2 linked regions of the Rhinolophus ferrumequinum genome follow. The protein of the gene in region 2 purifies or fractionates together with the protein of the main gene of each other region. This does not show direct contact. Links are inferred from orthologs where the notes say so. Each region holds a gene or a part of one and is shown on either strand. Other genes may lie near its edges.

Evidence for each region. Proteins that work in one complex are often made in the same cells at the same time.
Region 1: the proteins of CHUK (region 2) and EIF2AK2 purify together in Homo sapiens (affinity purification with western blotting; 3 studies listed by BioGRID). This does not show direct contact. The link is inferred for Rhinolophus ferrumequinum from reciprocal best matches to the Homo sapiens genes CHUK and EIF2AK2.

Annotation. Positions count from the first base shown.
Region 1 is NC_046296.1:46,183,752-46,191,289, reverse strand, and holds the start of EIF2AK2 (interferon-induced, double-stranded RNA-activated protein kinase), read right to left. Parts: upstream 3,101-7,538; 5' UTR 2,845-3,100; intron 1-2,844.
Region 2 is NC_046299.1:24,311,468-24,318,856, reverse strand, and holds the start of CHUK (inhibitor of nuclear factor kappa-B kinase subunit alpha), read right to left. Parts: upstream 3,109-7,389; 5' UTR 3,039-3,108; coding exon 2,934-3,038; intron 1-2,933. Other genes in the region: CWF19L1 (CWF19-like protein 1), read right to left, coding at 5,847-5,991.

The DNA of each region.
Region 1 (7,538 bases), on a different chromosome or scaffold from region 2:
CAGTTTCTACGTCTTACTCATTTTTGTATCACCAACACCCCGTAGCAAGTGGTAAATGCTGAACACTAAGATGGTGTATAGTTGAATGAGAGAATGATTAATTAAAATTAAGTACTCCCCTTTAAACCTTCTCATCTTCTCCCTTTTCTTCGCCTGTTGTTTTCTGTGCATCTTTTCTTCATTCATTCAGTAAGTGCTTATCAAATGTCAGGGACTGTTCTGATACTGAGTATACAGATATAAACAAGACAGAACATGTGCAGAAATAAATAACAGGAGTGGGTATTATGATGGCCAGATGACCGAGAAGTGCTATGATGAAATTAAACAGAGATATGGAATCTTAGAGAGTGAGTTGGCAGGTGGGGGCAGAAATATGATGGAGGTGGTTTTAGATACAGTGGTGAGGGAATAGCCTCCTTAGGAGGGAATATTTAAATCAAGCCTGAATGATGAGAAAGCCCATCATACCAATATATGGGGGAGGAGTAGCTCAGGCAGAGGAAACCCTGGAGCAGGAGCCAGTGCAGACTTTGGAGGGATAACAATAAGGCCAAGGGGACTGCTGCACCGTGAATGAGGGGTTAAGGGTAGGAAATGAGTCAGAGAGGTGGGCAGGTGCCACAGCACACAGCCCTTATAGGGTATGGATGTTACTCCACTAGGAAGCTATTGGAGGATTTTAAGAAGAGGGGTGATGTGACTGGATTGATGTTTCAAATGACCCCTCCGATGCTACGGAGAGTACGGAGAATGCTGGGTATGGAAAGGGGAAGCAGAGCATGAGTAGAAGTTGGGAGACCAAGCAGAGGCTGTGGCAGTGGCTTGGGTGAACAACGGTGGTGAGCAATGGTGGTGGCTGGAAGCGAGGTGCTAGAAGTGCCCTGATCTGAGCAAAGGCAATACCTTCTCGTCAGTGCTGAGGGCGGTGAAGAGAGTTAGGCGTTAGAGCCACAGAGATCTGGGCTAGACATCTCTCTGAGTCTTTGATTCATGACCTAAAAAACACCTGATTCACAGGTTGTTGTGAGGAATAAATCAGACGAAAAGCATCTGGCACACTGGTGGGCCCCACTAAATGGTGCTCCTGGTCTGCAATTCCAAAATCCAAAAAGCACTGAAAAACTAAGGTTTTCTTTGTTTTCATTTGTTTTGTTTTTGGTAGATTTGTAGCCCCTTATCTAAACCTAAACTGGCATGATCAATTGAGTGTCTGTATCATACTTTGGTGCCTATTTATACATTTCACTGCAGAAATATGTTTCATTATACCTAGAGTGTCACCCCCAAATCCTGCTGAGAGCATTACGTAATAGACAGGGTGTATGCTGTATTGCCTTTCTAAAATCCAAAATCTCTGAAGACCAGAACACACCTGGCCCAAGGGTTTCAGATAAGGGTCTGTAGATGTACCATTATTTTCAGAAACCAAAGTCTCATTTAGTTTAGTCACAACCATGAGACCATACATCAAATTGGAGGGGGGGTCACAGATCTCAGAACAGCAGTTATGGAAGAGTCCTTAGCAATTACTTAACCAGAAGTCCTATCAAATGCTTTTACATTCTCAGCACTGTTACCTCTTAACTGCTGATCAGCAGAATGACAAGCCAGTTTGACTTTAAGTGAAATATACGTGTAAACTAATAAGGTACTGAACTGGCATGTTTGAAAAGTACTTACAAGTTTTGGGGAAAAAGAAATAGGTTTCTTTTTAACTACTTTTAATACATAGTTGTCTTAATACTAAGTTACCATTTCCCTAAAAGAAATCACCACAATAATCTCTAACAAACGGTTATGTGTCCATTTTACTCTTGCCCAGAAGATACTTTGGCATTCCCCTTAGGGCAGACGTGAGCGTCTGCCGGCCTAGCCCCCTCCAGGGCCTGCACAATGGTTGGCATGCAACATGCATTCAAGCAGTATCTGATGAATTAAACGAATAAACCAGAGATCACGTGTTGTGGATCTTCAGGTTCAAATAAGCAAACTGAAGAAAAAGAGCACAGTCTGCCCAAGATTCTAAGTTCCTAAATGACAGCAGAGAGTGTATATTTTAGCTTCTAACTGGCAAGGCATTTTTAGTACTAAAGAAATCACAGGTATTAGGAAGTCTCATTATTCTGGAATTCAAAAGAGAATTTATGAATTACCATTCATTAAACAACTATTTAATGAGTGCTGGGGTTATACCAGTGAACAAAACCCTGCTCCGGTGAACTTACCAGTGGAGGAACACGGACAAAGCCATAAAAAAAAATCAGAGCGATATATTGAAAACTGAAGTAAAATAAGGGTGACAGGGAGGGGCGGGTGGGGTTTCTCTTATAAGCAGGTTGTTCAGGGAAAGCTGCTTTGACAGAGTGACACTGAAGAAATGCAGGGGACACTGAGGGATGGGCCTATGCAGGTATCTGAGGGAAGAAAGAGCTTTCCAGGAAGAAGAAACTGGCAGTGCAAAGACCCAGAGGCAGGGGTGTATGCTTGGCTGCGTGTCAAGAACAGCAGTGCGGTCCGAATGGAGGGAATAAGGGGACTTGCCTGTGAGCCCAGAGACGGTGTTGAGAAGTATGGGGGGGGGGGCGGGGAGGGGGAAGAGGGTGTAAGGGGTCGAAATGGGAAGGGAGGGGGGCAGGAAAGGGGTTGGGGAGGGGGAAGCCAGGCAATTAGGAAACAAGTGTAACTGTCTAGGCAAGAGATTTCGGGCCAGGGATTACAGAGCCAATCTATAGGTAATTCAGGGCTGCATATTTCCCATCTCTCTGTCAAGTCATAGGGTCGATCTATTTTCCACTCGATTCCCTCGCCCCCCAACGCCGTCCTGGGCTATTCGTTACTTACTGTGATAAAAACTGTTCACCGGAAGAAAATGGATTTCAGTTCCCAGCACGCTGCCCGGGTCCGAAAAGGTTCCCGCACCTCGCCAGGGGGCCTGAGCCAGGAGTCAGGGGCCTCGCAGCCGACGGAGGACGCGGGCTGCGCGCGCGCCTCTGCACCCCTGTGCTCTCCGCCCCTCGCCGCCTCCCGCGCTGCCCGGCGCCCCGCCGCCCAGTTTACTTCGCGCCGTCACTGTCTCCCGAGGCACTGTCCGATCTGGACACCTCGGTCTCAGTTTCGTTTTCTCTGCGGACTCCGCCTTCCGCTGCGGCCGCCCGGCCCCCTCCCGTTTTAGTCCTTACTGGATCCGGGATCTGGAGACTGACGTTTCCATTGGGAGTCCGCGCGGCAGGCACGCACGTGCCGCTCCTGCTCCTGGGCGCGCGTCCAGACCCTTGTATCCCCACCCGGGCTTCTGGGGCTGTCAGGACCGGGTACAGGTAAGGATCCGTAGGAGGTGGGGAGGACACCGAAGTCTCCGAGCGCCCGTGGCGCGCCAGGCACTCGCTGAACTAGGCTCCAGGATCAAACATCCCATTTCCTCTAACACGCAAACATTTGGGGGTGGGGGTCAGGGTGGATAGTATCAGCCTTATCTTACAATAGAAGAAACTGAGTAAATTAACTCGCCCAGGGTCTTGCCGCTGGAAAGTGGCAAAGCTAGCATTCAGTTCAAGGTCAGGCCCCTAAACACCAAAGCACTCGGTCTCCTTTCCACACTGCTGCCAGGTCACATACAAGGCTGGGGATGAATTGGCCAGGGGAATAATCTTCCTTCTGTCTGTTTGCACCCATCCAACCGCTCATTCAACAGATACTTGCCAGCCGCTGTACCTACCAAGCACCGGCCCAGCAGTTAGGTGAGCCACCTGCTGCTCCTTAAGGGACCTCATGGAGTTTACTACCAAAGCCCTCATCAATAGTCCTCGATTTATAAGAAATCCTACTCACCTAATGGACTATGACACACTCCCAGAGTAATACTGATTCATTGACACGGTGACTAAAGAGTGCTGAGGACTTACTTTACAACAACACTGCAAGGTAGGTGCCATTGCTGTGCCCATTTCACAGATGATGAAACTTAGGTCTGAGGCACAGAGAAGTTAAATAACACAGCTAGTAAGCAGAGGGAGCTAAAATTAGAAGCAGGAGTCTGTACCCTTAACACCTTAGCTAGAGTAAAAGAGAGAGGTGGTCCTAAGTTGGACCTCAAGTATACATTAAATACTGCGCATTGGCTCCAGGAGTCCTTTTCCACTTCTCTTCTACATCCCCTCATTTTGCAGGGTATCAATGGCTAAAAACTACGTTTTCCTTGTAGCTTAGGTCTTGGACATGATTTAAGTCTCCCAAATGTGAAGCACTTGTGGGGTGTTTGGAATATACGAGTAGATGGGAGGCAGAGCCATCTTTCTGTGGCATTTCCAGGCAGCAAAAAGCTCCAGCAGTGGTGGGTGTTTGCAGGAATCCATTTGCCAGCCTCAGGCAGTGGGGTGGCTGTGGCAGAAGCAATGGCAATAGCAATGACACGTTTCCTGACATTTTGAAGCCCGGGAACTGCCCAAGAGAGCCTAGAAAAGAAAATGATAAGCTCAAGTACCGTCAGAGGACACAAACTTTTATGATTGCCCCAGAAGAACCTCTTACATGGAGCTTCAGGGCAGATGTTGTAAAGATCAGGTGCAGAGCCTGATGCCGCAGGTAGCAGAATTTTAAAATATAAGTTTAAGATGTAGCCTCACCAAGTCTTTTATGTGAACATTAAGGGCATTGATTGGGAAAGAATGAGGCCCTGGGAACTTGGATGGATTTGAATGAGTCCAAGTACCACTGCCCTCCCAAATTCTGTTGAGTGTCCACAGTCCTTCCACCTTTGTTTGCTAAGGATGGTACAGCCTACGTAGCTTGAAGATCCTGAAGTAGTCACCTCCAAATGTCCCATCCTACCTCATTCCTTCACTCCTAGAACTAGAATCAGATGCTAGGATGCCACCAATGGATACCGACAAGATCTGATCCAGAGGAGGTAGTTTACACAATAAAAGAGTTGCAAGATTTTACTAATTTTTTCCCCAGCAGAAACCCAGGAAATATGCATGGAAATGGTTCTAAAGGTAACAAGGCAAAATAAATATAATTTAGATTATGCACTCAATGTGCTGGCTCCAGCAGCGGGGAATGGCTCTAATGGTTTGTTCAGTTGGTTTATTACAATCTGGCCTCAGGGTTGGCACACATTAAGTAAAACTGTGATGTCAAGTAATACAGAGGAAGAAATCAAAAGGAGGGGGGTTATCACTTTGTGAGGGATATAAATGTCTAAGTATTATATTGTTTTGTACACCTGAAATGAATAAAAAAAAAGTATGTAGGGAATGAGGAACATTGGAATAGATTAATCATATGCAACCTATTCATTCACTCCCTAAACATGGTCCCCAAGAAAATCCAAAGGATCCTCTTTCACCAGGCATTGAGAAATATATTGGAGAGGGGGAGCATCAGCATCCTTGAAAATTCTGTAATGAATGGTGACCACTGCTGGTGGGGAATGTTGATGGGAGATGCTCCCTGATTTCAATGTGTACTATGGCTCCCAGAGTAGCAAAGGCCATGTGGCAACACTTAAACCCCAAAGAAAGGGCATCAGGGTCAGAGCAGTAATCAGAAAGTTTCAATAACCAAAGATCTTCAGTGGTGATAAACTGGTCCCGACATTCTTAGGACTCAAAAAAGATGCTAGTCCACAGGCATGTTACACGAGCAGCTATCTAAGGCTCTATCACTCCTGCTCTATCAACCCAATCTCTGAACTCATGGGGAGTTTCCTGTGGCCAGATGATTGAGAAAGAAATATTCGAATGAAGCACAACACACTGCCATTAATCAGAAGTGGATTGAGGTATTACAATAGCCCCGCTGGGAGGTGGTCCTAAAGGATAGTGGGAGAAAGGAAATCTTCCCAGTGGGCAGAATTTTGAGCAGTACCTTTAGTTGTCACTTGGAAAAAGAGAAAGCCAGTGGCTTGGACAGAACCAATGGCTAACCATTTAGCTGGATATTCAGACATTTGGAAGGAACAAGATCAGAGGGTCGATGATAAGGAGGTCTGGGGGAAATGATGTGGGTGAACCACTTAGAACAGACACAGAGTTAGGAGCATATTGGGTTCTCTTGTGAATGTTCACCTCCACAGGCACGCACTTCTGAGGAGGCTATTGAGAAGCAAGTGGGCAAGACGACTTCTATGGATGTCAGCTTTCCCAGCTACCCCAGTGTTTTTTCAAAATGAATGAAGAGGCAATGGCAGCAGGAATTGGATGATACATGTGAGTTCATCAACAGGGAATTCCCATCCAGGCTGCTGAGTACCTAGCGTGTCAACAACACAGACCAACCCTGAGCCCCCAGTGTGGATTCTCATACTCCAAGGAAGACCAGCCAGTCACTTTGTGGCAGACTGGTTACGTGGCGACCTTTCCATCATGGAGTGGGCAGGGATTTGCCCTCTGTGGAGTAAACATGTATTCCAGCTATGGATTTGCTTTTCCTTCCTTGCAGTGCTTCTGCCAACACCATCATTGTTGGACATCCTGAATATCTTGTTCACCATCATGTTATACCTCACTAAGGAACCCATTTTGCAGAAAAAGAAGGCAGACACTGACTACCATGGGATCAATGGTTTTATTATGATCATCACCACCAAAAAGCAGCTGGCCTTAGAAGACTGTGGGATGGAGTACTGAAGACTCAGTTACAGCCCCAGGTAGGTGACAACACAGCAAGCTGAGTGTACAGTCCTTCAAGTACAATATATGCTCTAAACCAAGTTGCTGTTTCTTTCACGGCCAGAATACAGGAGACCAGGAAACGGTAGAAGTGAAAAGCTTGTCTCCCACAATTAAACCTAATCACACACTTGCAAAGTAAGTGCTTTCTTGCTCCTATGACATTGGGCTGTTCTCCACTAGGAGACACATAGTTCCTTGCGCAGGAACTTGAGAGTGCATCTGGATTTTACAGGTTCATCATGCCATCAAGTCATCACAAAAATAAGGAAGTTAGCAACTGGGCTGATTGATGTGAATTACGCCGGGCAAATAGTGATACAGCCACGCAGTGGAGTCAAGGATGAGTATGTCTTCAACCCAGAGGTTTCTTTGAGGTTCTTTCTGGTAATTACATGTTCAATGATAAATGTTGATGGAAGTCTAAAGCTGTCCAACACAGGCAGGACTGTTAAGGTCTCAGCTCTTTCAGGATTGTTGATTTATATCGCCCTACTATGTAGTTGGGGAGACTTCTAAGGGCAAAGGGAACCAATGAAGAGGAAATTATAAACACCAATGATGGTCTCATGACCAGTTTCAGAATGAAGCACCATAGAAGCGGTGCATGTTTTTTTCCTTGTTTTGTTTTTGTATGTATTCATGAACTTCTTTTAATGGCTTTCCTCTTTCCTTTTATATGAGGTTTGCTGGTGGTGGTTAATTTTATAACTTAGTCTTTACATTAGAGTATCTTAAGGTGGGATCGTGACTAAAACAGAAGAGGAAAGAACATCGCATAGCAATGGGTATAAAGATTTAAGGGATAGGGTATGCATGCTTTCATTTGAATAAGGGAATGACTGTATTAGGTGGGAATGTAGT
Region 2 (7,389 bases):
GGATAGTGGTGATGGTTGCAGAACAGTATAAAGGCACTTAATGCCACAGAACTGTACACTTAAAAATGGTTAAAATGATAAATGTTATGTATATGTTACAATAAAAAAAATTGGAAAGCAACTAAGTTAGTTTCTTCTCTATAGGACCTCTCAGAGCTTTTAACATACTAACGTGGGCTATGACTCTCCAAATGAAGGAATATCATAGATGCAGCATTTACCCAATGTATTTGACCATAGTATAATTTTTTCAAAGAGTTTCACGGGATTAGTTTTTCCAAACACACTTTCAGAAGTGCTACCCTATTCCCTAAGAAGAGTTTTTAGTTATTTTGCCATTCTTCCATATTACTTTACAAATACCTTCATTATATAGGTTATCACATTGTACTTAAAAGTGTTTATGTACTTAAAAGTGATTCTGTGTCTCCCACTAGACTTGAAATCTCCTTGAAGGCAGAAAATACTGTTCATGTTGATTTGGGCACCATCAGCACCAGCACCCAGAACAGTAATCAGCTAAATAAACTCTCACATCCTTTTCTCTTCCTCATTGTGATTTAAGAGGTGTAGATGAAATATTGGGATGTGGCTTCCACCAAAACACTAGGATCTTGAAAGCTGTAAATGCAAACCCTATGTCAGGCTTGGAAGAGTAGTGATGCTGTTTCCAAGTCTTACGACAAAGTATTTCTTTCTTTCACTACAGGCCAAGTTGTCAAATGTCCCAGTTTTGGGGAAGTCCACTCTGGACACCTGGAAAGCTTCTGAGAGATTTCTAAGATTCTAGAGGACTCAAATCTCTTTCATTGAAAAAATGATAAATTCACAGAAACAGATAGTAGAATGCTGGTTGCCAGGGGCCCGCGGGAGGAGGAAATGGGAAGTTCTTATTTAATGGGTATACAGTTTCAGTAGATAAAAAAGTTCTGGAAATGAATGGTGGTGATGGCTGCACAACAATGTGAATGTACTTAATGCCACTGAACTGTATACTTAAAAATGGTTAAAATGGTAAATTTTATGTTATATATACTTAACCACAATTTTTTTTTAAAAAATCATGTATTCATTGGTCCCCATCCAGGGACCAAGAAAAGCAGTCACAAAACCATGCCAGCATGCATACCACGTTTCCCTGAAAATAAGACCTAGCCGGACAATCAGCTCTAATGCGTCTTTTGGAACAAAAAGTAATGCAAGACCCGGTCTTATTTTACTGTAAGACTGGGTATAACATAACATAATACCGGGTCTTATATTAATTTTTGCTCCAAAAGACGCATTAGAGCTGATTGTCCGGCTAGGTCTTATTTTCAGGGAAGTGGTACATTTTTCTTATGACCAGGCTGATGGTCAGGCTTCAAATACAAAGGCCAAAGGCAACATCTGCTATTAATAGAAGTACATCGCTCCCTCTCTTTTCCTTTTGAGTGCCTTATGTCCTCTCTGATGGCGAGAATTATTAAATTACTACTTGTCCAGCTGTCAAAGTACTTAATGCCTTAGTCCTTCGCCTTCCATTCTCCCTCTCACCAAGATTTCCTCCTATGCTCTATCCAGAAACCTGCTTCATAAAATTTCCTCGGTTCTATCAGTGATATTCGTCATTGTAACTGCCACACAAACATGTCTATTCCTCCCAGATGGAGTCCCATCCTATACTATGGGCTCTCTATCCACACCCACATTCCTTAAAACAGCAAATCATGATTTCTCTTCTTGAATTCACTTCTCCATTCACAAGCCAATTGCAAGCATTTTACGGCAGTAATAGCTTAACTGGTCAGCTTGTCCCATATGTTTTCCTACTCAGATTTATCTTTTACAAAAAAAGAACACTTTTATCTTGGCATTTCCTTTTTTGCAGGTCAATTAATGATGATAAAGATGATAATAACAGCAACAACACAGCAACAACGAGAGCAAACGTTTGAGGGCTTTCCATGGGCCAGGTACTGTACTTAGCTTTACACATATTACTATCTTCTTTAACTCTCAGACTCACGGTGAGTAGACATTATTGTAACCATTTCACAGATAACAAAACAAAGGCTATACTGCAGGGATTACTAGTCCAGGGTCTATATATCTAAAAGGTCTGTGAATGTCTTTCAGGAGAACATGAGCTTCCTCAAATGGCAATGCATAAGGCTGCACGGACGTGCCTCTGTGCATATTTCTGGGGAAAGGGTTCAGATCTTTTATTGGTTATCAAAAGATGCATAGCTCAAACATGATTATTAACTGCTGCTACAATGGTTAAACATTTTCAATTAAATCAACGCCAATTCCCGACTTGGATGTTAGCTGTCTGCCAACGACTAGAGCACCTCACCCCTAATCTATCTCCTTCCCTTGCGAGGCCCCGATCATTTTCACCATCTGATCCTCATACAGCTTCCTATCTGGAATGCATCCCCAATTCCAAAGCCTACTCGATGCTTCCAAACGCTTCCACCCTGAAACCTTGTCTACTCCAGTCCCACCGATAACACATGGCTTCCAAGCACACCCAAGTACACACACATTCCAACAGGCAGCCCCCCCCCACTCTTTAGCCCCATTTTCTCACCCACTTGTGCTCACAATACACACTCTCATGTGCATTTGCCTTACGTTACACACCGTTACACTCTTTACATTCAGAGACACATAAGCACCGTCACATTCGGTAAACACCTTGTCACATCTTGACACTCATACCAAAAGTTCTTCCTAATAACGCTAACGCACACACGCTGACCCAGATACAACCTGACTCAGTAACCACAAGCACAATCTCAATCTCTTTCTTTCTCACACGCACACACGCTCATTGGCCCCCAGTACTGCCCGAGGTAACACCAACAATCTCACATACTGACAGCCACTGTGTTCCACAGACGCTCTGACAAACAGCCACCGCCGCTCCCTCGCGCGCCCCGCCTCACCCGATGTTGGTACAGGCAGACGTTCCCGAAGCCGCCGGTGCCCAGCCGCTCCCGCATCTCCCAGGGCCCGCCCGCGCCCGGCCGCAGCCCCGGGGGCCGCTCCATGGGGCGGGAGGGCAAGCGGCCTCAGGTTCAGCCACCGTTCCAAGGCCGGTTCCGGGCCGCCGAGGCTCGCGCGTCTTTCTTCTCGCGAGATGTATGCATCACTTCCGGTAACTGCCACACGGAAAGCTCCGCCCCAAATTTTCCCAACGTGCCGCAAGCCCCTCAGCAGGGGAAAGGGTGGGGGGAGTAGGGCGCTTTCAATACGCTCTCTTAAGTACCCTGGGCATTTTCCTAGCTGAGAGAACCCACTTGTTTTTTCCCCAGTCTTCAAAAATGTAAGATCTCTCCAGGCCCTACATTCCCTTCAAATCACTTTCCAAAACAGTCTGTCTTGTATTGGTCTTTTTTTCAACTTCACATCATCTCCACCCCTATTTAGACTTCACCTTTCTTCAGACTTCTGCCATCTATTCTCCAACCTCACCATCCGCTGAGCTGGCACTGGCGAAGGCCACCACCGATTTAAATATGGCGGAAGCCGAAGAACTAGAAAGAATCCCGCGCTAACAAGGCCTCCATAGACTTAATAGTTCATCTTTTCTTCCTTAAATGATTAATCATGTTCCATAGAGTCAGGATCAGCTGTTCTTTTGCTTTATTTCCTATATACCTGTCCCAGGATCTCCCCTGTAATTCCAAACGGCTCAAGGATGTGATGCCGTTCCCGAGTAAAGAACGTTCCTGTTCCTGACTTCGGGATCTTGTCCCTGTCAAACAGTGCTCCAGATACGGGTTTGCCAGTGAGGTAGTTCCTCATTGTGGGGAGTTTTTCATGCGTGATGCAAGGCTGCAGAGGCAAGCTTGGGGAATGCTGTTGGGGCAACAAGAAGAGTTTCCGAGTGGCTGATTGCTTTAGCATAGGGGAACCAGCTTCCTGTTTTTGCTGAGTTGGTCATAGCTTCATAGGACTTGGGGATTTCATTAATCACTCCATTGTTACTCCAAGTATAACAATCAGCTTGGAATCAAATTCTCAAGAAATGTGTCAGTTGGCGTTAAGGATGGTCATTTGAGCCTCCTTTGAGACGGTGTGCACTTGATCATTTGCACACCCCTGCCTATGAACTCAGTACATGGAATTCCAATTAACACTTTGTGATAGATGGTTGTATCTATCACAGATGGTTGTACCACAGATGTAGCATTTGAAACATCTAAAGGTGGGTACAGCATGTGCACCATGGTAATGTCACTGGTTGCTTTGAAAGCATTGAATAGGCTTTTGGCAAAGCCAATGTGTCTATTGTCACCAAAATCCTTGAATAGTGCACTCAGATTGTTGAACACTGCATGATACGAAGCGAGTCATGGTATATAGGTCATCAGTAACGTGTGGTGTTGGAAATTCTGGTTTCCCATACATGCTTGGTAGCCACGGAGCTGGAGTATCAGACTTGGAGGTGATGTGCAAATGGTACTTCCAAGAACACATCCTTTAGACCCAGGCAAACTGCACAAATGATTGTGATGCAGATTATCCTAATACTCTGAAGCCCTCATTTGCTAGGTGTACAGCATAATGAGCACTGAAGTGTGTTTGATCTCCACAGGTGGGGCCAAAATCTCCTTATTGTCATTTGCAAGAGCCAGGGAAGAGATGCTGAGGACCTGAGGATACTGATGACTGAGCTGACCCTGAAGTGGCCATCTTTGCAGGAACCTGGTTGTTTCCTAAAGCTCATTCTTTAACATCCCCATTCACAGGGACACTGCATAGCTCTTTTTTAAAATCCTGGGCCGGTTGACCTCAGGCTCCAGAATCTTCAAGTTTGCCAGTCTCAGTTTTTTTCATGTATAAAATGGAGGTAATAATACCTATCTCATAGATATTTTGTGAGGATTAAGTGAAATAGTGTCTGGGCCATTAGTGCCCAATATATAGGAGCAATGATTTTTCTTTTGACTTCCAAGATACAACATTCTCCTGTGATGTCTCCCTCTCTTTGCTCTTTCTCCATATACTTGTCGGATCACTCTATTTCCAAGGTAGTCATCTTCAGCTTAGGTTGGTATTCAACCTATCTTTTCATTCATTCTCGTAATTTCACCTATGGCCTATACCCTGATGATCCCCAAAGCCCGATCTCCAATCCAGATCTCCATAAGTTTATAACTATGCAAGAACTCAACATATCTAAAACTCAGCATATCTAAAGCAGAACTCATCTTCTTATCTTAAATCTGCCCTTTCTCTTCCCAATTAGACTGTAAATTCTGGGACAACAGAGACCATGTTGGGACATGGCTATACTCCTGGAGCCTAGAAAAATGCCTGGCACATAGGAGTTAAATATTTGCTGAAGAAATGAATGAGCTCTTTCATATCAACAAATGAATGTTATGAGAAAAATGGCAAAGGCCTTGGGTTCCTTCTCCATCCTGGGTTGCTCAGGGAGAAGCCACCTGTGACATCCTGTGATAACAGCTGGGCCTAAAGCCCCGGCTCCTCCTATTACACACACACACACGACTTTATTTCAGTGGTTACAGGTAACATGAACATCAGGCACTTCCCAAACACGGGAAAGTATTTGGATTTTATTTGATAGTTTAAATGTTTTGGAAAATGTTGATAAACAAAAGCTGTATTTGGAGCTGGATGACAGACATGCCTTGAATATAGGATTTTCCTCCTAGAATGTGACTTTTTCCAAAAAATATTCAATTTTAGGCCTCTTGCTACCAATAGGTTCCATGGGAATGCACAAAAAAAGAGGCAGGAAAACAGTCCCCACGGGAGACTGTAGTTTCTTAAAAAACAGGCTGCTACTACTTCCTGTGAAGTTCATAAAGTGCCTTTCCCTTTGCTTAGTCATCCAGAGTAAAGTCAAAGGGCTCAAAGTCTTTCCGGAAGCGGCGAGCCAAGGTTTCTTCCTCTTCCTTGCTGATCTGACACTGCCTCCAGTCAGACTTGTCAGGAATATTAAGGATGGCTTCACTGGCCAGGACCTCCCTGCAGAAAGAGTACAAAGAAATCAAAATAGACAGTATCAGCCTGAACACCCCCCCAACCTTCTTTTCCTCTCCACCAGAGAGCTCTCCTCAGCATCACCCAAACAAGGCATGCAAATTCCTCTGACTTCACTCATACCATTTTCTCTTGCCCTGCGTGCCTTCTCTGCCATTCTAGCTATTAAAATTATACTCATTTTAAGTGACCAACTCAGATCCTACCTCTTTCTTAACCCCTCAAATCCCATTTACTTCTCTGAACTTGGAACTACATTTATTGGTACTTAAAGAAGCAACATGGCACTGAAGAGGGCAGGCCCTGGTGTCAGAAATATCAGAGACGATTCCATTCCTAGCTCTGTCCCTGGCTGTCTATGACTTAAACAGAAGATTTCATCTCTGAGTCCTGATTTTCTCACCTATGAAATGCGAACTAAGGGTTTTGTGAGGTATGGAAATAACACAATAAAAGTACCAGACTGGCTCTGATTACATCCTACCTTAAACTCCAGTTTCGTCATCCCAATTAGACCATGAGTTTGGTAAGGGCATGGTGCAGAGTTGGGCACCTAGTATCACACCTCACTCTAACCTTCTGCCTCTCCTTTCAGCGGATTCAGGCGTATGTGGACACAACAGCACAGGCTCAATACCAACAAAACTTGTCTTGGCTCTTAGGACTCCAGTATAACTACATACAAACTTACACACAGGCTACCTTCTAACTGCCACTGCTTTACACTTTTACTTATTTTTACTTATGCTGATATATTAGAAGTAACTCTATGCACATCTATACGGTTCATTTCCCACAATAAAGCTACAATAAATAGAAGAGTTGAAAATCAATCACATGAGTCTCCTAAAAGTCAGAGACCCCGAGCTCAAGTTCTATCTGCCTGGGCAAACCTTGAGCTGACTTCATCTGTAAAATGAAGATAGAATCACCTTTCTTGTACAGCAGCAGGGAAAAAAAAGTCTTTTCAAGTATTTTGTTAACTATAAAATGCTATGTAACTGTAAGTTAGCATTTTGAAAACTACAGTGTTGAAAATACAACTATCATGAGCATAAAATCATCCAGAGAATCTCTCTTGTAGGCTTATGTGCCTGTGTATATCTGCAATCATGTGCCTACATCATCAGCGTCCACATCTGCATCTGTTGCTGAGGCAACAACAAAAAGATAATGTCAAATGCTTGAAGCTCCTAACATACTTGTTCTCATTTGTCAATGATCTTTTTGAAAACGTAGACAACTACATTTACTGGACTTAATCCAATGGTGGCAATCTCTTGGAGGCTTTCCAAATTAGTCCAAGAAGGGCTTAAGGTTGACTCAAAGCTCAGATCTAATTGGGACAGGTGGGGGAATAAAACATCTGCAAATCACGGACAC